Daphnia pulex: one gene and its partners. The main gene of each other region encodes a partner of the protein of the gene in region 6 in a complex. Links are inferred from orthologs where the notes say so. Each region holds a gene or a part of one and is shown on either strand. Other genes may lie near its edges.

What was found.
Region 1: small nuclear ribonucleoprotein Sm D2 (region 6) and pleiotropic regulator 1-like share a complex: the UniProt entries of both Homo sapiens proteins name them as parts of the minor spliceosome. The link is inferred for Daphnia pulex from reciprocal best matches to the Homo sapiens genes SNRPD2 and PLRG1.
Region 2: small nuclear ribonucleoprotein Sm D2 (region 6) and E3 ubiquitin-protein ligase RNF113A-like share a complex: the UniProt entries of both Homo sapiens proteins name them as parts of the minor spliceosome. The link is inferred for Daphnia pulex from reciprocal best matches to the Homo sapiens genes SNRPD2 and RNF113A.
Region 3: small nuclear ribonucleoprotein Sm D2 (region 6) and pre-mRNA-processing factor 6-like share a complex: the UniProt entries of both Homo sapiens proteins name them as parts of the U4/U6-U5 tri-snRNP complex. The link is inferred for Daphnia pulex from reciprocal best matches to the Homo sapiens genes SNRPD2 and PRPF6.
Region 4: small nuclear ribonucleoprotein Sm D2 (region 6) and gem-associated protein 2-like share a complex: the UniProt entries of both Homo sapiens proteins name them as parts of the SMN-Sm complex. The link is inferred for Daphnia pulex from reciprocal best matches to the Homo sapiens genes SNRPD2 and GEMIN2.
Region 5: small nuclear ribonucleoprotein Sm D2 (region 6) and gem-associated protein 5-like share a complex: the UniProt entries of both Homo sapiens proteins name them as parts of the SMN-Sm complex. The link is inferred for Daphnia pulex from reciprocal best matches to the Homo sapiens genes SNRPD2 and GEMIN5.
Region 7: small nuclear ribonucleoprotein Sm D2 (region 6) and U6 snRNA-associated Sm-like protein LSm4 share a complex: the UniProt entries of both Homo sapiens proteins name them as parts of the U4/U6-U5 tri-snRNP complex. The link is inferred for Daphnia pulex from reciprocal best matches to the Homo sapiens genes SNRPD2 and LSM4.

What each region holds. Positions count from the first base shown.
Region 1 is NC_060021.1:1,388,871-1,392,739, reverse strand, and holds pleiotropic regulator 1-like, read left to right. Parts: upstream 1-1,221; 5' UTR 1,222-1,338; coding exon 1,339-1,347; intron 1,348-1,411; coding exon 1,412-1,518; intron 1,519-1,583; coding exon 1,584-1,726; intron 1,727-1,793; coding exon 1,794-1,913; intron 1,914-1,972; coding exon 1,973-2,157; intron 2,158-2,213; coding exon 2,214-2,363; intron 2,364-2,419; coding exon 2,420-2,614; intron 2,615-2,677; coding exon 2,678-2,796; intron 2,797-2,864; coding exon 2,865-3,066; intron 3,067-3,132; coding exon 3,133-3,324; 3' UTR 3,325-3,369; downstream 3,370-3,869. Other genes in the region: death-inducer obliterator 1-like, read right to left, coding at 1-275, 344-706, 764-887. UniProt on the Homo sapiens protein: Involved in pre-mRNA splicing as component of the spliceosome. Component of the PRP19-CDC5L complex that forms an integral part of the spliceosome and is required for activating pre-mRNA splicing.
Region 2 is NC_060022.1:4,929,451-4,933,183, reverse strand, and holds E3 ubiquitin-protein ligase RNF113A-like, read left to right. Parts: upstream 1-1,476; 5' UTR 1,477-1,700; coding exon 1,701-1,868; intron 1,869-1,939; coding exon 1,940-2,132; intron 2,133-2,188; coding exon 2,189-2,413; intron 2,414-2,496; coding exon 2,497-2,680; intron 2,681-2,745; coding exon 2,746-3,085; 3' UTR 3,086-3,233; downstream 3,234-3,733. Other genes in the region: protein unc-45 homolog B-like, read right to left, coding at 3,264-3,370, 3,455-3,623, 3,701-3,733. UniProt on the Homo sapiens protein: Required for pre-mRNA splicing as component of the spliceosome. As a component of the minor spliceosome, involved in the splicing of U12-type introns in pre-mRNAs. E3 ubiquitin-protein ligase that catalyzes the transfer of ubiquitin onto target proteins.
Region 3 is NC_060027.1:3,689,252-3,693,498, forward strand, and holds the start of pre-mRNA-processing factor 6-like, read right to left. Parts: upstream 2,801-4,247; 5' UTR 2,789-2,800; coding exon 2,698-2,788; intron 2,619-2,697; coding exon 2,479-2,618; intron 2,421-2,478; coding exon 2,237-2,420; intron 2,163-2,236; coding exon 2,125-2,162; intron 2,062-2,124; coding exon 1,866-2,061; intron 1,793-1,865; coding exon 1,697-1,792; intron 1,625-1,696; coding exon 1,470-1,624; intron 1,400-1,469; coding exon 1,372-1,399; intron 1,312-1,371; coding exon 1,134-1,311; intron 1,063-1,133; coding exon 900-1,062; intron 843-899; coding exon 681-842; intron 587-680; coding exon 447-586; intron 367-446; coding exon 216-366; intron 1-215. Other genes in the region: endoglucanase 12-like, read right to left, coding at 3,773-4,001, 4,076-4,215. UniProt on the Homo sapiens protein: Involved in pre-mRNA splicing as component of the U4/U6-U5 tri-snRNP complex, one of the building blocks of the spliceosome.
Region 4 is NC_060025.1:2,087,193-2,090,140, forward strand, and holds gem-associated protein 2-like, read left to right. Parts: upstream 1-1,244; 5' UTR 1,245-1,320; coding exon 1,321-1,424; intron 1,425-1,495; coding exon 1,496-1,580; intron 1,581-1,638; coding exon 1,639-1,794; intron 1,795-1,864; coding exon 1,865-1,975; intron 1,976-2,030; coding exon 2,031-2,309; 3' UTR 2,310-2,448; downstream 2,449-2,948. Other genes in the region: endoplasmic reticulum protein SC65-like, read right to left, coding at 1-300, 365-417, 482-842. UniProt on the Homo sapiens protein: The SMN complex catalyzes the assembly of small nuclear ribonucleoproteins (snRNPs), the building blocks of the spliceosome, and thereby plays an important role in the splicing of cellular pre-mRNAs.
Region 5 is NC_060024.1:12,897,181-12,901,377, forward strand, and holds the start of gem-associated protein 5-like, read left to right. Parts: upstream 1-1,397; 5' UTR 1,398-1,524; coding exon 1,525-1,729; intron 1,730-1,793; coding exon 1,794-1,918; intron 1,919-1,975; coding exon 1,976-2,213; intron 2,214-2,281; coding exon 2,282-2,322; intron 2,323-2,391; coding exon 2,392-2,676; intron 2,677-2,735; coding exon 2,736-3,090; intron 3,091-3,152; coding exon 3,153-3,689; intron 3,690-3,763; coding exon 3,764-3,915; intron 3,916-3,971; coding exon 3,972-4,197. Other genes in the region: CD63 antigen-like, read right to left, coding at 100-249, 315-440, 496-666, 748-927, 1,007-1,072. UniProt on the Homo sapiens protein: The SMN complex catalyzes the assembly of small nuclear ribonucleoproteins (snRNPs), the building blocks of the spliceosome, and thereby plays an important role in the splicing of cellular pre-mRNAs.
Region 6 is NC_060018.1:305,102-307,981, forward strand, and holds small nuclear ribonucleoprotein Sm D2, read left to right. Parts: upstream 1-1,356; 5' UTR 1,357-1,527; intron 1,528-1,596; exon of another isoform or gene 1,597-1,628; 5' UTR 1,629-1,744; coding exon 1,745-1,749; intron 1,750-1,891; coding exon 1,892-2,147; intron 2,148-2,216; coding exon 2,217-2,324; 3' UTR 2,325-2,380; downstream 2,381-2,880. Other genes in the region: cofilin/actin-depolymerizing factor homolog, read right to left, coding at 146-148; proteasome subunit alpha type-6-like, read right to left, coding at 2,438-2,495, 2,558-2,768, 2,839-2,880. UniProt on the Homo sapiens protein: Plays a role in pre-mRNA splicing as a core component of the spliceosomal U1, U2, U4 and U5 small nuclear ribonucleoproteins (snRNPs), the building blocks of the spliceosome.
Region 7 is NC_060026.1:5,482,078-5,485,575, reverse strand, and holds U6 snRNA-associated Sm-like protein LSm4, read left to right. Parts: upstream 1-1,169; 5' UTR 1,170-1,314; coding exon 1,315-1,317; intron 1,318-1,383; coding exon 1,384-1,425; intron 1,426-1,484; coding exon 1,485-1,583; intron 1,584-1,698; coding exon 1,699-1,879; intron 1,880-2,727; coding exon 2,728-2,816; 3' UTR 2,817-2,998; downstream 2,999-3,498. UniProt on the Homo sapiens protein: Plays a role in pre-mRNA splicing as component of the U4/U6-U5 tri-snRNP complex that is involved in spliceosome assembly, and as component of the precatalytic spliceosome (spliceosome B complex).

The DNA of each region.
Region 1 (3,869 bases), on a different chromosome or scaffold from region 6:
CTTCTCCTTTTTGAGAAGTTCCTCATTTTCTGCTCGGATTTTCTTTAATTGCTCCATTTCTTGCCGGTCAATCTGGCGTTGGGAACGCCGCTTAGGTGAAGGTTGGCGCGTTGATCCACCACCACCACCTATACCCGTCGAAACGCTATCAGAACTATCAACTTCAGAACTCATCGCACTGTCGGCGTTTCTCGAGTTACTAATTGCCGGGCCATGCGCAGCTGAATAACAATGGTCAAGTGAGATGGACGCAACAGCCTCAGTGTCATCCGGAGCTGGATAGAAAAAACAATAATATAATCTAGATACACTTACTACTACTACACAAAGTTATTTGGCAAACCTCCTGTAAGTTCGGGATCAAGCAGGTCATCTAGACCAGCTTCTGGTGGGAGAATATTGTTGAAAAAAGCCCCAGCTTCTGCTTGTAATGCATGCTCAATTTTCTCGATCTCTTCCTGATCAAGAGCTAAGAGTGGATCTGTTGTTTCTAAAACTTGCTCACTAATTTTTGGCCCTGCTTTGACATTTCCATTAACTTGAGCAATTTCCTGGTCAGTTTCCATCAATTCTTCCTCGTTTTCCTTGAGTACAGGGCTAGAGACTGGGTTGAAATCTTCTTCTACAGTTATGTTGACATCAGTACTGCTGTCACCTGCAACATCATTGACTCTAACTACGCTTAGAGTTGTATTCTCTTGAGAGCCTGAAAATAAGGTAAATGAATAAAAACATGATTTCCCTCCAAAATGTGACGACTTACTAAGAAGTTGAAGTGTTTCCTGATCAACTGATATGTCACCAGTGTCATTATCAACAATAATGATTAGTGTGTTTCCAGCAGAGGAGCTATCGTCTGTGGTATCTGCCACAAAAGTACTCGACATGCTGTTGTCGAATTTGTAGCACACTTGTATCTAAATGTCAGTAAACGAGTAATCCAAAACGCGTCACTTATTGACCAGCTCGGAACGGCCCACTATCAAAGTTCAAACCAAAGCCACTAAAAACTTCACCCGATTCTATGGGCAACCACAAGCCCAAAACTTTTTTGTTGACAAACTTTGAAACTCCTGATTGCATCAAAATACACATAAACACCAAGCCGACTCATGGCTAGATGCCGCCATTTTGCGTTTTTTTTATATAAATCAATTTCAATGTGCCATGTTGCCGGCGACGCTTCCAATAGAAGCCATCTGGCGTGAATAATTACATCTTCTGTTAGTCACTAACAGATGGCGATTTGATCAGTACGTTAGACAACGCCGGCAACAATCGAGTACAAACCTCATGTAAATTTTGATTTGGTTTCGTTTTTACAATATAACAACAATCATGGGAGAGGTAAATTTTGCAATTAAAAAAATTATGAACAATTTCTAATTTACAAAATTTCATATCTCTACAGGATATTCAGAAGCATTCCGTGCATACGCTAGTGTTTCGATCACTGAAGAGAACCCACGACATGTTTCTGTCAGAAGAGGGTAGTCTACCTCCTCTTGATCAAAAAGCGTGTGTTGAAATAACTTTACATTGTTTCAACGTATTAAGTAACTCAATTCTATTTGATTATCTAGAGTGTCTGCCTGGCGATCATCAAAAGCTAAAGATACGTATGGTCCAATAGTTGAACTGGTCAGGAAACAACAAGAGATAGCGAAAAAAACAGGGCTTCCGGTAAATTACCCTGGAGGACAGCTTGCTCTAACTAACAAATCTGGTAATTTATTTTCCCCTATATTGATTGGAAATATGTATTTTTAAGTGGAATGTTTATTTTTTTACAGAACAAGATGGAGAGACCAGCCAAGCTTTGGCTCTTATGCCTTCAGGAACAATCGGGGGACATCAGATGCCACAATCTTCAGCAAATGTATCAACTGTTGGTATACCAGGCTATGCTGCAGGTGAGAAAAATATGCAGTCATTGTTTTCCCATCTATTTACTAAAAAAGAATCTTATTAGGTGGACCCACAAACAATACACAATCTTTAATAACCCGTAAAGCCCCAACAATGCCCAAGCCACAGTGGCATCCACCATGGAAACTTTGTCGTGTTATCAGTGGTCATATTGGTTGGGTACGCTGTGTAGCTGTTGATCCTACGAATGAATGGTTTTGCACAGGATCTGCTGACAGAGTTATTAAGGTAATTTATTCCTTACATTTATAAGAGTCAAGTTTTTCATTTTGAAATTCTTATAGATTTGGGATTTGGCCTCTGGACGGCTGAAACTTTCGCTTACAGGCCATGTCAGCACCGTCCGTGCTCTTCAAGTCAGCCCAAGACATCCGTACCTTTTCAGTGCTGGTGAAGATCGACAAGTGAAATGCTGGGATTTGGAGTACAACAAAGTAGCCATCACCATTTCAATTTACCGTGTAAGAAATATTAACAAAATCTTTTTCAGGTTATCCGGCACTACCACGGCCATTTGAGTGCCGTTTATAGTATGGCCCTTCATCCAACCATCGACGTTTTAGTAACTTGTGGTCGTGACTCTACTGCCCGTGTTTGGGACATGCGATCCAAAGCAAACATTCATACCCTAACTGGCCACACCAACACCGTAGCATCAGTTGTTTGTCAAGCAGCCGAACCTCAAGTATTCAAAGCAGTTTTCGACACTCATAATCCAGAATTTTAATTTTACCTTTCGAAACCATAGATTATTACTAGTAGTCATGACAGCACTATTCGATTATGGGATTTGGCGGCTGGCAGATCAATGGCTACTTTGACGAATCACAAGAAAAGTGTCCGGGCAGTGGCAATGCACCCTAACCTGTATGAAGCTAACCCATTATTTCACAACACATTGAATGTACAATTAATTTTAAAAAATTATGTTGCAGCTACATGTTTGCATCCGCCTCGCCGGATAATATCAAACAATGGAAGTGCCCCGAAGGCAAGTTTATTCAGAATCTTTCGGGCCACAATGCCATTCTTAATTGCCTTGCCATCAATGCTGACAACGTAATGGTATCGGGTGCTGATAACGGATCACTCCACTTCTGGGATTTCAAGACTGGATACAATTTCCAGCGCTCACAGGTATAAATGCATTTAGTTGAAACTGTGTTTTGAACGTTTCTTTAACTGTTCCTATTCAAATTTAAGGCCCCCGTGCAACCAGGCTCAATGGATAGTGAAGCTGGAGTATTTGCCATGGCCTTTGACCACAGTGGTTCACGTCTCATAACGGCCGAAGCAGATAAAACTATCAAAATCTACAAAGAGGACGACGAAGCTAATGAAGAGACACACCCCATCAACTGGAAGCCCGACTTATTAAAACGGCGTCGTTATTAACTCGCCATCTCCTGTACCGTACAATACAACTTGATTTTTAAACGATTTGTTGGCGCAAACTTGTATTATTACTTCAGTAATGTGCTGAGTTATTATGCGCTTATGGATTATTTATATTATGGATAGCTCGGGAATCCCAAGCTATCCCGAGTCGGGATAGCTTTAGCTTGTCAATTATATAATCACTGATTTCAGCGTGAATGTTTTAGGCAATCAAATAGTGATGAGGTTCTTAGCAATTTAGAATACCTACTTGAGAATAATTTAGGGTCACTCCTTGTTTGTGATAACGTATTAGCTTTCAACAAGCAGCCAAATGCCACACGTAAAGAACGAGTACATAAAAATCTTCTGGTTTTCAATTCATCCCAAAATGTAGTTAGAAAAAATATTGTTAAAAAATGTTAAGACTAGTCAAAGAAAACCTTTTGCTTCGTTGCATAACATTTAATTATTTAATTTACAAAGCTCACGTTTTCACGCGGTCTTAAATTTTGAAACACTGTATTTTGGCGGGAAAAATGGAAGGGAAACCGAGAACCCTG
Region 2 (3,733 bases), on a different chromosome or scaffold from region 6:
CTGAAACTGCATATAGAGAACATAGAGCGAAAAGTCTTCATAAAAGGGCAGCAGCCCCATTAGAACGCGCGCGTAACTTGTGTGTGCTGTGTAAAGGATTGATCCTGCTGCCGTGCTGGCCCTTCTCTCAAAAGCCCCTTTTATACGTGTATAGTAGTGTAGCATGTGGATATTATATATCTTGTCTGGATCATTCAGCTTCTGTATAAATAGGCCCTCGCTTTATGCATAACATGTATCTATCATTGAGTCCCTATTTATAGCCTCCTCCCCTCTTTGCATAGAACGAAACGGTATATCTGCAAAACTGTGCTGCAATAAGTCAATGTGCCAATCCTGCTGGAGGAGGAAGTCAAAGTTTGGCTAGATGGGCTTTTCAGTCAGCGACAAGTTTGACCGAAAAATTACTTATACGGTACGGCGAAATAAAAATATTTTTTGTTTTAAATGAATAGGTATAGATATTGTAGTGCAGTATAGGTGTATAAATGGAGTCGGAGGATGGAGATCAAGTAGCTTTTCATCGGACGGTGAAGCGCTTCGTGCACTTTTGCGGCCGGGTTTTCTGGCCTGCGCGTTCCTTATTATTTCAACTTGATGAAAAGTGCTGGGCTAATTAAGGCGCTGTAAGGGAATCATCAAGCGAACGGCCCCCAGCAGCTAGCAGTCTGCTGATGATATAGAAATAATAAGCGCGACATCGGGCAAAGACGAAAGAGGCCCGCGGAGAACAAGCCCCCAAAAACCAGCAAAAAGAAAAAAGTAGACGAACGAAGAGGAGATAACAGTTCAGTGGCCGCCGCCCCACCCAGAAAAAAAAAATTAATAAAAATTGGGTAGGGGAATTAAGAAAATAGAATTATTATTCAGTCATATGTGGCGAAAAGGTTCTTAAAAGCTTCGGCAGTCTTTTCTAATTGATCGCCAGCAGAAGCGTATATAGTGCGTATTATTATTTCGAGGAGAAGAAAGAAGAAGGTCCTCAGACTCTGTGATGCGCCGAGCACATCTATACATATATACACGCCACCAGATTATTAGAGGGGAACCTACTAATTAATGAAAGGATGCTCCTTTTTGTACTGCCTGTGTGTAATCGAGTCGCCAGAGATTTTTAAGTAACGTGATTCTTCCCCCCATCCATTTCATTTGCACAAGGAAAATAAATCACCAAGGCATATGGAAATGATTAGAAGAAGACCATAAGAAATGACGACGATGCCTAATAATAATGATGTAAAGCAATAAGATATGTCGATTTTATTTTTCCAAAACAAATGCAAAATAGCAAAACCCGTAGTAGTAGTAGTAGAAACGGATGACGTTAAGATATATTCAAAGTCTCAAGCGGGTTTTCGGGGTCGGATCATTAATACCGACATCGTAGATGACAAATCTGGATCACAATAATAAAAGCTTTTGTGTGTGTGTGTGTGCATAGTTCTCTATGTACTAGTCTCTGTTGCTGTGCATATATATGTAAATCTGCAGCAGATCCCTTGCTGCGTATTCAATCAGTCATCAAGAACCCAATTAGAGGAATCAGACAACAGTGCACCGGTAATCCTTTTGAAAAGCCGACGACGAGAAGACGGAAGGATTTTTATTTTATTGTTCTCGTTTGTTGACAAGTCAAAATACATTTTTATATACAAAAAAGGAAAGCTTGATCCAACAAGAAAATCCACAAACAAACAAAAATGGCCGACGACAATAAAGTTTGCACGTTTACATTCAAGAAACGAAGAGGAGGAGGAGCCGCCATGAGGAGAAAAGCTGATGATGACAAGAAAAGCAGCAGCGAAGATGAAACTGTTGTTGCTCGAGTGGGGAAAAAGGAATCGGCTGGACTTCTTTCGGCTAAAACTGTGAGTTATTGAAAGTCTCTGCAAAAAGAATTTGTGTTTCTCATCGTGTTTTTTTCTTTTGGGGTTGACAGTTCAAATCCACGAAAAAGTCCCGTCAAGAAATCCAAAACAGCTCTGATGAGGAAGTCAAGGAAAAGGTCACAGTCGTCTTCCAGTCTGACAGAAGTGCTGAGAACAAGAAAGACGATCTTGCCACTTCCACAGTTCAGATCGACACTGCCGTCGATCAAGATGCCAGGACAATTTTTGAGAAATCTTTACAAAGTAGGTCAACTTTTTTATTTAAAATGAACCAAAATAATGTTTTGTTTCTTTGACAGTCCAGCAGGAGCTGAAAGGCAAAGCAGATGACAAGAAATATCGTGGCCTTGCTAACTATGCCCAGTACTACGAGAAAAGAGATACAGCCCAAGGAAATGCTGCATCTGCCAATGTGAGAAAAGGCCCCATGCGAGCCCCAGCCAACATCAGGTCAACAGTGAGATGGGATTACCAACCAGATCTTTGTAAAGATTACAAGGAAACGGGTTTCTGCGGTTTCGGAGGTATTCAAAATCTAACCAAAAGTTTTTGGGGTTATTATCATCATTCAGTTGAACTTTTATAAAGCTTTGCTGTGTTTTATTAGACAGTTGTAAGTTCTTGCACGACCGTTCCGATTATAAATTCGGATGGCAGTTGGAGCGAGAAGAAAGGGGAAAAGGTGAGCCGGCCGAAGACGACTCAAAGTATGAAATACACTCGGACGACGAAGATTTGCCCTTCAAGTGTTTCATCTGTCGCGAGTCGTTCCAACATCCCGTTGTCTCCAAGTAATAAAGACTCTCTCCTATTCATTTATAAGAAGGAGAATTTAACGCAAATTTTGACACGGCAGGTGTAAGCATTATTTCTGCGAGGCCTGCGCCTTGAAACATTACCGCAAATCGCAGCGGTGTTTTGTTTGCGGCAAACAAACTTTTGGTGTCTTTAACCCGGCAAAGAGCCTCATCGAGCGGCTCAAGTTGGAGGAAGAAGGCAAAACTTACAAGGAAGCAGACAGCGACGAGGAGCTCAACAACTTGGAATTGATTATGCAGCCGTCTGGCAGCACTACTGGTAAACCTACGGGAGCAACAGCAGATGTGGAGGAGCCCGTTACGGAGATTGAGCACATTCACTACGCAGACGAAGGAGTCGTGGCCAACGATACGGATTCAGATGATGACAGCGATTGAGGATAAGATCATCTTTATTTTTTCCCCCTACCATTCACGTGTAAGAATACATTATTTTGTAATTCCTTCTTTTTTAAATAATGCTTTCAATTGACGTATAAAGTGTATTTAACTTTAACGAGTGAATTTGCATAGGCACACAATTTAATTTTTGTTTAAATCATTTCATTAAAATTTATCAAGACTCATCTTCAGAGTCGTCCTCCTTCTCGATCAGTTTCCATTGCTCGGCGATTTCCAGGGTTGATTTGGCGCAGTCGCAAATTTTGGCCATTTCAGGTGTTTCTGTGTGCAGAGCGGATTCAAATGGGTTACAAAAAAGATTAGTTCAAGGCACCATGTCAAAAGTTTTAACTTAATCCTCTTTACCGAATTTGGTGAGAACTTCCAGGACCATAATAACCTCAGGTTGCAACAACTTTTCGGCCAACTCTTTCGAATGACTGGCGATGTTTTTGACGATAACAGCTCCTCGATATTGCACGTCTTTGTCCGTATTGCTCAGTAGGAAGCAAAGGATTTCTTTCCACTCTGTCGCCTATTGACAAATTTAACAAGAGAAAAAAAAAGTTAAAATCAATTCCAGGGAAAAAGTTAAAAAGAATGGAGGCAAACCTCGAAAACTTTCCGTGAAGCCCGTTTACTGAC
Region 3 (4,247 bases), on a different chromosome or scaffold from region 6:
AAAAAATTTTCCCGATTGTTATTTGACACATTCCGAACAACCAAAAACACCGAGAAGATTTATTACTAAAACGAAAGGCGGATGAAAATATTAAATATCTTCTTCATCTCATCTTCCATGTTCCTGCACTGCTTCTAGTTGAAGATTCCGTTAACAGCCAGTGATTGCAGAGCAGCTACAGACGCCTGGAAGCCCGCGTTATAATCGCAAGCTACTTCGTTCGTAACGAAATTGTGTCTGTCATCTACGTAATGGTCATTTTGGTTATCTGGGCCACCAATTAGAGCTCCATAGAGGATCTGGGGATTAGGATTGGGTGAATCAAAGGCATCCCAATCGCAAACGGCGGGCCTATTCGGACATGAACTGCAAAAAGACGAAAAATTAGAAATGTGTATAATATTTCTGGATATCTATTGTATGAACAAGAAGCTAAAAACACGAACCTGGACGCATGATGTGGCTTCAGTGGTGGATTGTGCCCGAAACCCACGACAAAACTACGGCCTGTATCTCCAAGTGCATAATGAATCTGCTGTTGCGCCAGTTGGCGATACGCCAATGGATTGATGTTCAGATCGGCAGCCTACGGAATAAGTGAATAATATATTAATATATTAGTTTAACGTATTTTTAATCACCAGGCGTAAAATTGTGAATATAATTTTTTTTTTAAATACTTGAAGACAAATGAAAGCGATATTTGATGCGGCGCCTAAAGATCCCCACTTGGTAACAAATAGGAGCCCCTTTGGCGTCTTCGGTTGTTCAACTTTGGAATCACAGAAAGTTTTCGCTGCGTTTCTGTAGAGGTTCTCATTTGTCAGTTTGGCCAACAGAACCTATATGAATTAAATGGCATTAACGGAACAATAATTAAACAAATATAACTGATTTACCTGTACTCCGGCAGTTTTCGTATCCCATGAAAATTCCGATGGATTATCGGAGAGGTTGAAATCGGTGTAAAATGCCTTAGCATCGTCGAGGTAAGCGTTATCGTTAGTAGCTCGGTATAACCAACTAGCGCTCCAAGCCAGTTCGTCACCGAAACCACTTGACCTACAGGCAATTGTGATATTATACCGGATACACATCAAACGCAACAATTTTATTAAATTTAAAGCTTTTACGAATAAAAATCTGCTACTTGTGGGATGGACTCGCTGTATATTCCTCGATGTCGTTTAGCAAAATCGTACAATTGCTTTGCATGTGTCAAGCAAAGAGCTGAGTAAGTGCTGTCGACTGTTTTAAAAACTATTGAAGTTGCGGCAAGTGCGGCAGCTGTTTCACCGGCCAAGTCAGACCCTATCGTGCGCAATGTTGTGTTATTTCTTTGAACGACAATATAATTTAAAAACAAATTACCAGGTTTTGAGGTAGATATAAAAAAAGCCTAAAGCGATAGAAATGTAGTTTTCAGTCGATGAAATAAATGAGTTTAATAATGGGTCAGGGCTTTATACCGGTCGTTTCATGGTCATTTCTTCGGGACGTCCCCAGTAATCGTGATCGAGATCGCCATCGCCCACTTGCCCATAAAATTTGTTAGTTTGCACATGGGCCTTGATAAAGTAATCTGTCGCCCACTTGACCATATTTCGAGCTGTTGTTAATTTCCCTGTATTATTTAAATTAATCCAGTAAGTTTAGTGATCTGATTCAACGAGAAATTGGTTTAAATTTTTAAAACCTGCGGAAGAATATCCAAGCGGATAATCAATTATCGACCAAGCCACTATCGTTATAGAACTGGCTAAAGGAAAACCGAGTTTCAAGTGATCTCCAGCTAAATAAATATGGTAAAGAATTTCAAATACTTTGATGGAATAAAATAGAATACAAATAATAGTATAAATTACCATCGTAATAGCCTCCAGTGAGATCTTCTCCGTCTTGTCCACGATCGTTGAGCGCCGAGTCTGAACGATACGGAATGGGGTTATCGTTTACTGGCAAGCGCCCAGAGCGCTGGGCATAGTAGAAGAGCAATGATTTGGTGATTACTTCACGGTAATTGTATTTAGTCGGCCAGGCATCCACTAAAAGGTTGTTCTCCTAGAAATTGCTTCATTTAGTACAACTTTTTCCATTTTATGCCAAAGAATTAAAATTTATTACTTCTTCTATTATCGGTTGTCTAGCCTCTGTTTTAGTGTCTTGGAAGGACATAATAAAAACAAAATTTAACCAAAAATTCTCTATTATTACGATTAATAATTTAGTTACTTACCAATTAAACAGACGTTGTCTCCGTTAAAAAGTACGCTTGTAATAATGGGTGTGGTGCTGGAACTAAAGAAAGCATTAAAACCGACACTCGTCAGTGTAGCCCCAGCGCTCTGAACTCCGTTAGAACTGAGGTTTCTCAGCTGATATTCCACTTCATTAATCTTAGACTCTGTAGCGTCCCAAGCCTTTAAAAATAAAAATATTCAAAAATGCTATCTATGATGTAACAGGAGCGTGTCATACCTTTAACCATGGAACGGCCGATGAAAATTTCAGGTCAATTTCCCATGAAGTGATTGGAGTCGTAATTGAAATATTAAGCGAGGCAGTCAAGCCTCCCGGCCAAGATGAGCTAATTGTGACGACATTATCGCACGGTCCTCCTATTTATTATTTTGATTGGTGTATTTTTCAACTCTATAATCATGTTAAATATGAGGAACCACACGGAAGAATATTTACCGGAAGCTAGATGCATGAAAAGAAGAATAACGATGAAGCCGGATAAAGACAACATTCTCGGTAGTAAGTTTGCTGGATTCTCTGTCAGCATCGTTCGTCCCGCTCGCCTTTTTATACTTTACATTCGGTCAAAGCATACACGGCACAGACTCAACTCTTTTACGTTATTGCATATTACTTCACAATAATTAAAAAATAACGAAAATACAGTTGCGTAACAAGAATACCATCACCATATTAAAACCATTTTAGAGGAAAAGAATTACTTGAGCAACGCACTGGTATTAGGAAATACAGGACCCATTCGATGGAATGCATACTCACACTACCAGTTTCAAGTAGATTTTATAATATGGATGACGCACAAAATTCTTTTGTTTAGACATTTTTAAAAATTGTCTTATTTTTTTCCCGATGGAACTATAGCCTTGATAACTACGACTTCTTTTGCACGAGGAATTTCAGCGAAATCTCTTTACGGGTTTCTTCGCGGAAAACGTAGTTACGCTTGTTGCATTTTTCGATTTCTATACATCAGTTTATCACCCCCTGTGCGGATTTCAGATGTTCTTGTTTGAAACCAATCAACTTCGACGCTAGATTAATGACTAGCCTATTGTGATGTTTGGGAACTTGGAAATCAATTAGGTGTGGAAATCAATTTATCAACATCTTCTATTGAATTCAGCAGTTGCATAATTCAGGTTTCAGATTGAATGAAACAACACGCGAGCTACCACCTTTACCTTGAAAAGGACATCGAACTCAAACGTATTCCAGACTTTCCTTATACTCTTTCAGATTAATAGACGATTCTTCGTGACATGCGCATCGGTTGAAAAGTTACCAATAGTTTGAGAAATGTATCACCAAATTTTATTTAACTTTTCAAGAACACACAAATGCAGGCGTTTTTTAACCTTTAGTAATAAATCCCATTTCCAAGAAAACCAACAAGATCAGCAGTACTGTAGCAGATAACCATGCAGAATTAAGAGTAAAATATACTTTCTAAAATGTAGGTATATAATATAGTTGTGTAACAAATTCCTGTCTTATCTTGTAAATTTGTATTCTAGTTGAAAACACCTTGGACAGCCAATGATTGCAAAGCAGCTACAGATCCTTGGAAGCCGGCGTTATAATCGCAAGCTACTTCGTTGGTAACGTAATTGCTCCGATCATCCGTGTAATTGTCGTTGCTATCTGGACCACCAACTAGACCTCCATAAAGCACCTGGGGATTGGGTGCAGTTGAGGAATAAGTGCTCCAATCACAAACAGCTGGTCTATTCGGACATGAACTACATAAAAAAAAATAAAAACATTAAAAAATAATAATGCTATCATATTTATAAGCACAATGTTTTATTCAAACCTGGACGCATGATGAGGTTTCAACGGCGGATTAACTCCAAAACCCACGACAAAACTACGGCCTGTATCTCCAAGCGCATAATGAATTTGTTGTTGCGCCAGTTTGCGATACGCCAATGGATTGATGTTGAGGTCAGCCGCCTTTTGAATCGGTGTAAGATTTAAGACTCAAA
Region 4 (2,948 bases), on a different chromosome or scaffold from region 6:
AAACCAGCCTTGATCAAAGGGACCCTCACAATGAGCTCTGCATTCTTCTTCTGCTTGCAAGTATTCTACCAAGGAAAGCTCCATGTTGGTTGTAGTTCTGTCATAGTCCTTCTTTTTGTAGGATTCACTGCCACGAATGTAGAATTCAACATAGGGTTTAGCTTCAAGGTTGATGACATAGTTGGGATCCACTTTCAATTCATTGATGAAAAATCTAAGATTTTCTTTCATCACAGTATGGTTTAAATTCATAGTTAAGAAAGTGTAGGCACAGGAAGCTGCCTTGATATTATCGTTGGTCTGAAATAATCCAAACACAAAAGTTTAAGTAAATAATAAAGAAAATGTGATGTAGGATACTAACCTTGAAGTAGCAAAGCTGAAGATAGTCATAAGGTTTCAAAGTGTCAAAATCATCTGTTTAAAATGTAAAAATTTTTAAAAACAGAAAACATATTTGATGAAGATAAGACTGTCTAACCTGCAACTTTACGGTCAACAATTTCTGCACGGTTCTTCAAAATATCTTTCTTGCATTTCAGTAAGCAAAGTGTCTTCTTTATCATCTTTTCCCATAATTTCATATCTTCCAACTGTGGAGACACCAACGGTTTGTCAAAAGATTCCTTGAGACATTCCAATCGACAGCCCACCACAGCATCTTTGTAAAAATGATAATCTTCAATGGCTTCGTTCATACGCGTGACGCACTCATCCCATTGCTCATTTAGATATGCTTCTACTGCCTGGCTGTAAAGAATATCGTACGAATTGGCAGGATCAGCTTTTGTAGCAGAGCAAAAGTAAACCAAGAGGGACAAAAAACAAGCTTTAAACAACATATTCTTACAATATATAATAAGGCTTGACAAAATAAAATAACATGGGCAGACTATGGAGCTATGGAGCAAGGGGAGGTTATCTTTGTGACTGCTCCACGTTAACAGTCAAGATGCCCTATGCAAAGAAGAGGGGTACATATATGCGTGAGAAAACATCTGTTAAAAACCTTAAACAAATTCTCGTGTTTCAATGTTTTGACTTAAAAGCAACATTGCCAATTATGAATAACGCAATCATGAAATTAATTAATCTTGAATTCTTTCAAATTTGAATTATATTTTTCAATTGCTGGTGGTTTTTTAACCGTGAATCGTGAGATGACAGGTAAGTGCAATAATTTAAATTTTTAAGTAAATAGAGCTGACAAATTAAAGTGATGTAGATGTCGCTTGCGTCTGAGCAAATAGTGGCGCAGAACCGCAGACGACAACTTAAACTTCAAAACAAACAACTGAAATCATTTGTGAAATTCCAGGCATGGATGAGTTCCTCCATAAAGCGCTTTACGTCGAGGAAACAGACGAGGATATCGATTTTGAGTCTGCGCCCAGTACAGGCCAAGAATACTTGAGAAGAGTTATGTAAGTCATGAAAACTTGTGTGTTAATAAATTGTATCACTATAAATTCATGCTGCCGGTTTATTTGGATAGAGTCGAATCGCGAAAATGCGAAGCGGTTGTAGTTGCCGATATGAAAGGAAAGAAGCTCAAAGCCCAAACTGTCAAATACACTACGGTAAGTTTCATTTTATTCAAATTTATTGATCTAGTCTGTCATTTCTGTGTAAATTCAGGACTCTGGCTGCCCACCTGCACCAGAAGTTTTCCTACCTTCAAAAGAATGGCAACAATTCCAAGTCTCTCAGTTTTCCTGCCTCAGGAGCCGCATGGCAAAACACTTGGCCAGGCTGAAAAAACAAGGAATTCAAATGAAACCGAATACAACCCTGGTAAGATCTTTGCTGTTGCAATGGCTTCCAGATAAATGAGTTTGGTCTTAATTATCCCTTCCAATTGTAGCCTGCTGGAGACAAAGAAAAGGAATGGTCAGTGTTGTGCTATGGTAACCCTGAGGATGAAAAGCCTTGTGGAACACCACCTATGCTCCCCATCATTTTATCCCTCAACCAGGTATATGAAAGTCACCTACTTCTCAGCATTCACACTATTATTTCTGTTGATGCAGTTTATGGTGGAGACTCTACTAGAGTACAACGTACAATGGCTGGAGGAGACGAATTTTACTCAGCAAAGGGGTCAGTGGCTCTACGCTCTACTTGCCAAATTGGAGAAACCTTTGAAACCCGAAATGTGTAGCCTCATCAGAACACTGGCACGTTTGTGTAGCACATTCCGAGTTCAATTAACCTCGGTCGACGACCCGCTGTTGGCCCAGCTCAATCTTTTCATATGTCTAGTCGGTCGTTACTTTGATCAAAGTGATTTAGCCGATCCGATGAAATGATTTAAACGCGAACAACGAACATTTCTGGTAACACATTTCCCGCATTGTATTTTTATTTTATTTTTCTTTTGCTCGCCATTTTGTAAGAAATAAAAAATGACTGATGGTAAATATAGTAAAGATCGTGGGTGAATAAGAACATGCATGTGGCTGATGGTATTACATTTAACACTTTTTTTGTTTTTTATTCGGGAGGGATAGGAAGAGGAGCTGAGTTGCATTCGTTTTTTTTTTCTCCCCCATTTTTCAGTGATGGCAAAAGTGGTGGGTGAAAATAAGAAGATTATAGCAGTTACATGTATAATAGCTGGAGGAAGAAAGAATTGAAGGGAAGGTCGGACAGAGATTTTAGAATTAGAATTTGCGTGTGTTTCTTCACAATTCCATTGATTCAACAGTATATAGAGATACGTTAGAAAAATTTGAACTTTCCCATCGATTGAACGAACCAACACAGGAAGGAAACGAAAAAGTGTAAGGAGAGGCGATGCCAATATATTTCTTATATATATTGTTTCTTTTTTATTCATTTTTTTGTTTTTTGTTTTGTTTTATTTACTGCATCCAATCTCCTCCGTTGTGTTCTCCTTCAGCAGATGAAACTGTCGCAAAAATTCAATATTATATCATGAAACATTT
Region 5 (4,197 bases), on a different chromosome or scaffold from region 6:
AGTGTGATTAATTCGTAACAATAAATTGAGATGACCTGATACGGGCGTCTATTCTTTTCACAATCAAATTTTTCCTTTTTGTAGCAACAAACAAATTAACTATTGATAGACAGGATCACTCGGAACGCAGCGGACTAGAAAAATGACAAGAATGATTTGAAAAGGTAGGAATATCGTAATGGCAATCCCAATTGCGGTTATTTTGGCGAAGAGGGCATCGACCGACTTCATCATGCTCGAGACACAATCCTGTAAAGTGAGAATTAAGTTTAAACTAAATTTAATGTAACTGATTAATAATAATATTTAATTACTTCTTGGTATATATTCTTCAGATAGGAAGTGTCGCATCCTGATTTAACGCAACAGGAATCAGGAATGAATGAATATCCTGCTACGCTGTTCCAGTCCTTGTAGCTATCAACGCCACAACACTGGAACTAAACCAAGCGCTTTATCACGTCAGCCGACTAATTTCCAAGTAAACTAATTTACCATTTGTTGGGTGATATCCATTCCAGTTTTCCCACTTCCGTCGGGATCGAAATACATCATTTCGCGCATAGACTCTCTAATGTCTTGCTTGACTTTAGTACCGAAATCAGGACCGAACGCCACCAAAAGTCCAACCATGGCAATGAACAACAGTACGAGGAAACCTGCATACTGTCAAGTGTCAACGTCTCTTTAATACGATTCACTACGGATACAGATAGGGAGAAAGAAAATTATTTTTATTTTACTCACTATGTAGTAAAAAACAGAACTGCCGTCAATAGTGAAACAACAGTTAAGCGTCGTCATAACGATCAGTATGACTCCTATGACAACAGCAAGACTTCCGATTTTCAATTCAGCCGAGAGTATGGATGTTAGCCGAGTAGATTCTTCAGCTAGTCCAAATCCAAGTAAACACATTCCGAGAACCTACCATGTTTCGTAATAATTACTTGTGTCACTCATTGATTGCAATGAGTTTTCGTAAATAATAAAGAATTAAGCGTACCAGTAATAGAACATTTATGAACAAATGTAGAAATGCACAAGCGAAACTGCATCTTCCGGTCTCCATATTGCTCACTGAAACTCTGGAACATGACAAACAATATCAGCCTACATTCACACATCTATCGACGTTTATGAGCGTAAGCTATTCTTCGAAATAAGTGACGAATTCCTTTTGACGCGCACATTTCGAACAAGGTTCGTTGATTTCTGATTTGATGAGGAACAATTCGAGCTACCCTTGGAAGCGGCCAAGAATTGTTTTATTTTATGCAACACGAAGGATCGCTCATGATTCATAATAACGAATTTTTTCTGAGCGTTATTTAAAGAATTATTACAACTTCTTAACTTATCCCATCTCAAAAATAAATTATGTAATATCTGCTTTTAGTAAGGTTTACTGTTTAGCACCACCTTTGTCGTCTGTGCACGTTGTTTTGAAATTGTTCGCACATGGTGCGTATATGTAAGATTTAGTTTTCAACTTAAAGAAATTGTACAAGTTAAACTTGTAGGATGACAGAAAATAAAAAAGAGATTGTGATTCCTCCATCTCCAAATTGGTATCTGAGTGGTGCTTTTGAATGTCACAAAAAGTCTGGAGTATTAGTTTATGCTGCTTCGCGATGCCTCGTCTTTGTGAAATCTTGTAATGTAGGAGATAATTTCAGTTATCCTACAACTAATGTCATCCCGGACGCCCACAGGAATAAAATTACTTGTTAGTTTAGCATAAACTTCCTTAGGTTCACTTTTCAATTAATCGGTTTTGTTTTCATATGAAGGTGTGTCTTGGTATCAGCCCTCAGAAGAGAATAATTTGTTGCTGAGTAGTGCTGGAGAAGATGGTTCTATTTGTATATGGAAATATAATGATTTGAGTCTTGTATTTGAACAAAATGCACATCAGGTAATATTTGTAAAACATATTGTCAAGCTACAAATCTAATTTGACATCTTTTTCTAGGAGCAAAAAATTTCTTGTCTAAGTTGGTCTTCTCTACTGGATAAGAAAATCTTGGCATCATCAAGTGAAGATGGGACCATCATAATAACAGAGCTACTATTGAGCTATGAGAGTTGCAGCACTCGGAAGCTCAATTATGGGAAAATAAACCCTCTTATGCTGTCATTCAATCCCCACATTCCATGGCAGCTGGCCATTGGCTGTAAAGGTGGATTGCTGTACATATGTGATGTTAGAGGTAATGATTCAGTACTTGCTCTAACATTATCATGATTTTTCATCACACATATCATTGATTTCATTTAGAAAACCGTGGTATAATTCATAAACTGCGAGCTCACGAAGATGTAATAAGTTTAACCAGTTTTGCGTTTTCCCATGAAGTGTCGTCATTAATTCACAACAAATTCTTTTAGGATCTACACAACATCGTTTGGTGCCCTTTGAAAGGAAATGTATTTATTTGTGAAAAAGAAAAGAAGGAAACATTCTTGGCGACTTCGGGCCGAGATAAAACTATTAAAATCTGGGCCACTAACGAAGGAAAATGTGTCAGCCAATCAAAACTTCCTGGCAATACTGGAGTCCATCGCCCTCGGTCTACTCAGGATGATAAACGTGCGACCTGGGTAGCCTTACATTGGCTAAACGAAAAACATATTTTGAGCAGTGGACTCAGTGGTGAACTTATCTTGTGGGAGGTCAGAATTTTAAGTTAAATTTTTATTTGCATGAATTTAATCAATTTGTTTTGCTGTAGGTTGGGCCCAAATTGTCTTGGAAGATCGTTCACAAGCTTCACAGCCGTGGACTCTTCAATATTTCTTCATACATGACTGGAGAAAACCAGGAAATGATTTGGACTTCGGCGCAGGATCGTAATGTTATTCTTTGGCCCATAGTGGAAGGCCACGTACCAAAAGAAGTGTTAGGCATTCAAGAAATGGAGAATCCGCATCTTTGTATGCCAACCATGGGTGGTTTCATCTACGTCATGAATATCAATCCCATCGATTCATCCCAAATGGCTGTGGGATTGGGAGACTGCTCCATCAGACTATGGAATATGGCAGCTGCGAAACCTGACATGATGATGCTGTGGAATGGAATCAAAGGTGATGAATATATAATCTACTTATGCAGTATAGAGAGTAAAATTGCAATTCAATCATAACAGGCAAAGTGAGTGGATTAGCGTGGCATCCGACAATAGAGGGCCGGTTGGCATTTGGAACCGATGAAGGACGCGTAGGAATATTTGACACACTGTCGCTAACTAAACCACCTCAATTGAGTCGCACTTACCACAAGGGTACCGTATACAATTTATCCTGGGCTACCCTGCCGTCTAAGGAAGGGATATTCCTCTACTCTTGTGGTGGGAACAACATTATGGTTCACGATCCATCAGCATTAGATACGGAAGCAAAAAATTTCAATAATTTGATCGCAAGCAAAGGAGAAAAAAATCAAAAGTTCCCTTCGCGTACGGAATTTCAATGGAAAGTGGACTTTTCTCTTCTAGCCGTAGGCAACGAAGACGGTTCTGTGGAAATCTATTCAGGCGGCGATTTATCTTTGCTAACGATTATCGTTGCGCATAAAAAACTTATTCAATGCCTTAAATGGCATCCGCCATTCACTTTCCAAAGTGTGGAACCTTCCAAATTTGAAAACTGGTTGGCAGTGGCTTCAAACGATGTGAACATCAAAGGTACGTGTAAATTTTAACTATCTTGACCCCTTTTGTTTTATTGACTGACTGACGCCTTTTTACTTTTGTTCCAGTTTTTAGCGTCGTCGTTGCCAACAACGACGAACCCGCAACATCCACACTTGCGGCTACTCTAAGCGGTCATAAAGAACGTGTGGTGTCGGTGGCTTGGAGCCCACATGAAGATGGAAAGCTTCTTTCTGCCAGTTATGATGGAACCGCACAGGTAAATCATTCTTAGACTTTTTAATTATACCCTTTTATTTTTACTTGCATTTGCAGGTTTGGGACGTGATCAACAAAGAGCAAGTGGCTAATTTTGGTGGCCATACCGGAAGATTGCTTTGTTGCGAATGGAACGCATTAGAACAGGATACGGCCGTTACAGGAGGAGACGACATGACTATTCGAATGTGGAAAGTTAAAGAACAAGTCTACAAGACACCTGCCGAATCTATTGCAGTCAAAACGTTGAAGGAACGAAAGAAAATACCATACAAACCCCCTC
Region 6 (2,880 bases):
AAGCCTTGCCGCGTTCGTCAGTTAAGCACACACAAGGATAGAACTTTTCTCCCTGAATCGAGGACTTTGGGACAGAAATTGGAAGAATTCCACACGTATACAGCAAACACATTTCTAACGACATGACAATATCAACGTTACTCACCATTTTGGACTAAGAAAAAAGTCTAGAAAAATTTCACGCAAAGCTCAAAGACGCCTAAACTGAAAGATCAACCCGAATGACTGCGGGATGAGACGGCACTGGGGGGAGTGAGTGGTGCGAGTGAGAGAGAGAGAGAGAAAATGCCCTCGATAAGATTTTACTCGTGGCGCGGCGAAAGAAGAGGGGAAACTCAGAGTAGACTTCTCTACACCGGCCGGGACCTCGCACTGCAAAATGGCGGCTGTTCCCCAAACTTGAGAAAACTTGGCGCTACCCAGTCCACACCCAGAAAAGCGCGTCATCTGGGGGTGGAATACAGCGCCGTCAAACGATGCCTATTTCGAACCATATTACAAACTTCACTAATTTATCACAAATAAAACATATAATGATAGGCGCATCATTTATCATTTTAAAAATAATTTGTATGACTCTTATTCTGTTTGCTGTTATGTAAAATCTCAAATGTCGTTAAATGAATTCGGGTAACCGCCAGGGGTCTCTGCTTGCTTAGCGATTGAAGGATGATGCCGATTGTAGAGAATTTTGTGTGTACTGGTTGCACATTCTCTGATTGGTTGTCCATATCGGGCGCTTGTTAACCCGAAAAAGGGGAGCCCAAACCACAAACCTGGAGAGAGTTACGAAAAGTAACTTTTTCTGTAAAATCCTCTACTCGCAGATTTTTCTGCTTGAGCAAAAAGTTGCCGACTCTAAATGATCATTCCGACTTCCTAATAAATGGTGTGCATCTCGCATGAGTGTTTTAACGAAAAAAAAAAATTATTGGGCCAGTTGCACACTTATTCTTTCATTCAGTTTCTCGGGGAGGATGACCTTTTATGGGCAGACATCGATGACTCACATTTTTACTTCCCCTCCCTCTAATCTGCCCTCCCCTCCCCTATGTATTAAAAATCTGAAACTCTCGGGACCGGTGTCGACAACTTTCTCTGTTTCTATAATTTAGACCAAAAAGTTTCAATTGCCATAGATCGCCTTCGCACAATGAACAGCCGATAACAGCGTGATTCGAAAGTTTTCGCCGTTTCAGGATGACTTATCAACAACGCTGGAAAGCGTTCTCCATTGGGGACCATGAGAAAGAATAGTCTGTGCATACGGGGGGAATATGTCCATATATGGCATTAGACAAGCTATGCTACATAACATAACATCTGTCGGCTGACAATTGTCAACCGCTTCGGTTTTCTCTTGACTCTACTTTCTGAGGTTTGTATTTCCTTTCCTCTCGACTAAAACGAATTCCAGTACAGAGTCCCAGACGTCTGACGTCTGGGATTGTAAATGTTTTTCTTGGCAAATTTCATTCTTTTCTTTTCACAACAATTATTAGAAATTGAAACGTGTCTCTTAAAAATGTAAGTCAACATTAAAAAACAATTTTTGGCAATTAAATCGCAAATAAGACATAAAATAGCATCAACCGTCTAATGCTAATTAATACAATATGACAACGCAGCATGTACGTTTTGTTTACGAAAAACAAGTGAATAACGGTTTGAAAAGTTAAACGAAGCCGGGCTCAAAAATATTCCAAAGAATATTTCTCTATCCGTTTACATCCTTCTATTTATCATGGCGTAAGTAAAGCTTAAGTTCAATTTCAAAATAGAAAATTTTTAAATCTATATTTTCAGCTAGTTACAGTGTTCCGTGTCTGCAGATTTTTCTCTACTTGACAGTTTCGTATGAGCACTAAATAATAAATGTTTCTTTCCATAGGGCTGTTGCAAATAAACCCAAGTCGGAGATGACACCGGAGGAATTGGCCAAACGGGAAGAAGAAGAATTCAACACTGGACCACTTTCAGTTTTGACTCAGAGTGTAAAAAACAACACTCAGGTCTTGATCAACTGCCGTAACAACAAAAAGCTACTGGGACGTGTTAAAGCTTTTGACCGTCACTGCAATATGGTTCTAGAAAATGTCAAGGAAATGTGGACTGAAGTTCCCAGAACAGGGAAAGGAAAGAAGAAGGTAATTTTCACTATTTCTGCATTCATTCATTCATCTATCAACAGTGACAGTTGTATATTTATTTTATAGAGCAAACCAGTCAACAAGGACCGTTTTATCTCCAAAATGTTCCTACGTGGAGATTCTGTAATATTAGTATTAAGAAATCCTTTGGCTGGTACTCCTGGAGCAAAATAATTGTATGTGTTTATCTCTCACTTTTGTATGAAATAAAAAAATCGAACAGCGGAAAATGTGTTTTATTATCTCGTTTTATTCCAATGTTGAAAGAAAAAGTTACAAAATCAAACTTAATCTTTTTCGGCAATTGCAGTCAGATGCTTATCGATGTCAGTTTCCGACAGAATTCTATAACAATCAGATCAGTCACATTAATTTCCTAAACTTAAATATTTTGCGCATTTTCTTACCTAAATCCTGGTTGATCCTTAGAAACAACTCCAATTTCAATATCAGATGGCTTGAAATCAGCAGTTAGGATATGAGACAGAGTTGTAATAGCAAGCTGGATAACTTCATCATGTGTGTAGTTTTGTTTCTTTTTGTATTTCTTCTCAAGATACGACGATGCCTCGGTTTGTTTAACACCCACTGAAGTAGCACGATAACCACAGTAATATCCTTGAAAAAAAAGTAAAACAGCAATAAAGCATACAATTTGAGAACTTTACACCCTATTTTAGATATATACCTGCTGGGTCAGCTTTGTATACAGCAGGCCCCAATTCTTCAT
Region 7 (3,498 bases), on a different chromosome or scaffold from region 6:
ACCGACTTCGAGGCCACTGCCGCATAGGATTTACCTAGCTGCGAGTCCATTCCACTAGGTGGCTCATTCTCCTTAGTCGGCTGCCCATCACCGAATAACCCATTCAAGAACCTATTTGCAATTTTAACCTTGATGCTGGTTAGCTCACTTTCTATCTCTTTAGTATGACTGATAATGCACTCTTTCTCTTGAATGAGCGTCTCTCTTTCCTCTTTTAAATCCTTTATTAGTATATTATCATGTCTTCTCTCGACATGTCGGTCAGAGAATTCTGGCTATTGTTCTGTACACTAAGTGTACGTTTCCGTTTCTCACCATTGGTGCCACCAATACTTGATCTAGGTCTAGAGTACATTATTTTACACACCTCAGAGCAATAAAGATGATTTCCCTGCCATACTCCCTCCTATACGACGGAAATTCCGTCGTATAGGGGGTATATATTACACGAGCGAAGAAAGGCAACTTGCGTCACTTATTGATCAAGAAAAACTGAAGGTATATTTTTTAAAATAATTTAATGTCGTAGTGAATAGTGATCTAGTAACCACTACTTTGCCATTCATTTAGGCTATCAAACGACCAGTTGGAATAGCTTTTATAACCTTCGCCTCAAACATTCAAGCAGCGAGGGTAAGCCAAGATCATAGGCCCAATTGGCGATGTGGATCAATCCCAGAAAGCTCGAGCCTGATTGTTATCTTTAAGCCTCACCGTTGGTCCGTTGATTTTGCTCCACGTCCAGATGAGATCAATTGGTAACTAGATTAAATTAATTAAGGTTAATTCAAGTTCTATAATTATCCTCTGTCGTATAGGAGGGAGTATAGGATTAGTCAAGCATAAAATAATTTCTAGTTCGGCTATACGCCACAGTGGTACGCATTGGCGTAAGCTTCGCACGACTTTTGGCTATGTCGCGTACTTTTGAATTGCAATAAGATCTATTCGGCTGCGTCAATAGTCAATACAATACGTGTTACTGATGTATCGCGAATAACGTTCAGGATCAGCGCAGTGTTAATGGTTTATTTTACGTTACGTTTTTACGGGTTTATACGTTAATGGATTATTGGTCCTGATTGATCTTGTCCATTCGGAACCGTTCCGAACACAGCCGCCTATTTTATAACATTTCCCAACACACCCGCTGTGGCGCGGTGTAAAGGATTGGCCGATCGCACGATAGATGGTGTTTCTGCTTCATAAATCTTTGATCTTTGATTTCCATTTTCCAACCACTTAAAACCTAGGAGAAACCTTTTTCTTAATTATTAATTGGAACATATCGAGAACAATAATATTAAATCAATTATGGTAACTATTGAGTTTTGTGCTTCATACCGAATCATCGAAGATTAATTTAATTATTTATTTATCTAGTTACCTTTGTCGCTACTACGTACAGCCCAGAATCATCCCATGGTAAGCATTTTTTACTTTTGTTATTTACAGCAATAAAACTAGTGTTTCAATATTTACAGTTAGTGGAATTGAAAAATGGGGAGACTTACAATGGCCACTTGGTGAGTTGTGATAACTGGATGAACATCAATCTACGAGAAGTAATTTGCACCTCCAAGGTAAAGTACTTTCATTTAAGATAGTTCCGTCATCTGTATCTGTCAGTGATATTCTTGAATACGATCATAAGGTTTTACATATAATATTTAATGAACAAAAATACAATTTCTTTAGGATGGTGACAGATTTTGGAGAATGCCTGAGTGTTACATTAGAGGCAGTACCATCAAATATCTTCGAATTCCAGATGAAGTCATTGATATGGTTAAGGAAGAAGTAGTTGCAAAAGGTCGTGGTCGCAGTGATGGTAAAGGAAGAGGTGGAGCCCAAAGAGGAGGCAGAGGTGGTAGTAGAGGTATGTTTTAAATGCCAAAATTTTCTCACTCATTATCAATTAAGTTAATGGGGTATACAAAACAATTTTATTCGTAGTCTTAATATTGTTTTAGTCATGAATATTATTGAACAAGTACCAAGTTATAACAGTATTATACAAAATTTTCTGATAATGGTCCAATGGGATAAATATAGTACAATCACTTAATGCTCAAATGATTGTACAATAACTAATGTATGTTTGACTTCTTGTTAATCTCATTATTCTAGAATCATGTTCAGTATATCGTAGCTTTATTTTTAAATTACGTCGTTTCGTGTCATTTGACGAATGAATAGCTAAACATCCTATCTGCACATTCAGGAATGCCTGCTCTTATGGTTTAAAAATGAAATCTATCTACTATGTAGAGGTTTATAATTTGTTTTTTATTGATTATTATTTCAAGAGGTACATGCCGCGTCTCTTACTTGAATACTGATAATAAATTAATTTTAATATTAATTAAAAATAGGAATTTATAAAATTAATTATTTAATCTTTTCACGTTTTTTTATATTTTATTTTAACCTTCCAAAAAAAGTTTACAGTTTAATGAAGTATAGTACTACCTAGGTAATGTTTCTCAGTCGTGTACATTATTATAACTTACATTATTTCCTTTTACTAAGCGTTAGCTTATCGCAGCTACACGAATGTGCGTCAAACTCAAATTAATAGTTAATGATTGATTGAATCGATGGGATTATTTTAATTTTATTATTTAATATTTTTATTTTAAAACATATAGGCTTCGTTGACGTATAATATGGAGCATGCATATTCCTATTGATATGATATAAAATTATTCTTGTGTTGACCATCAGGTTCTTTTGGTGCTTCAAGAGGTCGAGGCGCGCCGTCGGGACGAGGTGGTGGTGGTGGTGGTGGCAATAATAAACCCCGTGGAAAGTAAATAAACTTGTCAGAATGAATGTATGAAAATAAAAATATGGCCAAGTCTTGATTTATTCGAGACGCTTTCTGTTTTGATAAAAAGATGGAAGCACTTATCTCATTCTTTCTCTTCACATTAATTTTACATGCTTAAAATAAGCCCATAAAACCTTTAGGCTGAAATACACCAAGAAACTGAAATATTTAGAAGAGAAGAAGCCCTTGTGGACTTGTAATAACACGCTGCACCTTCAGCTGTTTTGCTGCATATTTCATAAGTCAGTAGGTGCGGCGTAGTAAGAGTGGATGTGTCGGATCGTTCGTTGCCAACTGGCAAAGCGACAGCGAAAATCGTTGTTAGCACAGAAGATTCAGATGCCCATTTTTAATAACGAATGAAAACAAATGTTTTGTTTTTGCAGAAAGTTCGGCGCGCTTAATAAATGTCAAATGTGTATACATATTTTGAAGCATGAAAGTTTTTCGTTTGTTATAGATACTTTCTGCGTTATAGATACTTTGAACTTGAATGCTCACCAAATTCAGTACAAAAGCAAAAGCCATACCACTAATTTTAGAGCGACACCATAATACATCTTCCATTTTCTCGCTCAGTTGCATTCGAACGTAAAATACAATTAGCTCGTAATTACGATTTAGTTCTTAATTATTTGTCAGACGTTTGCAATAGTAAATTCGCC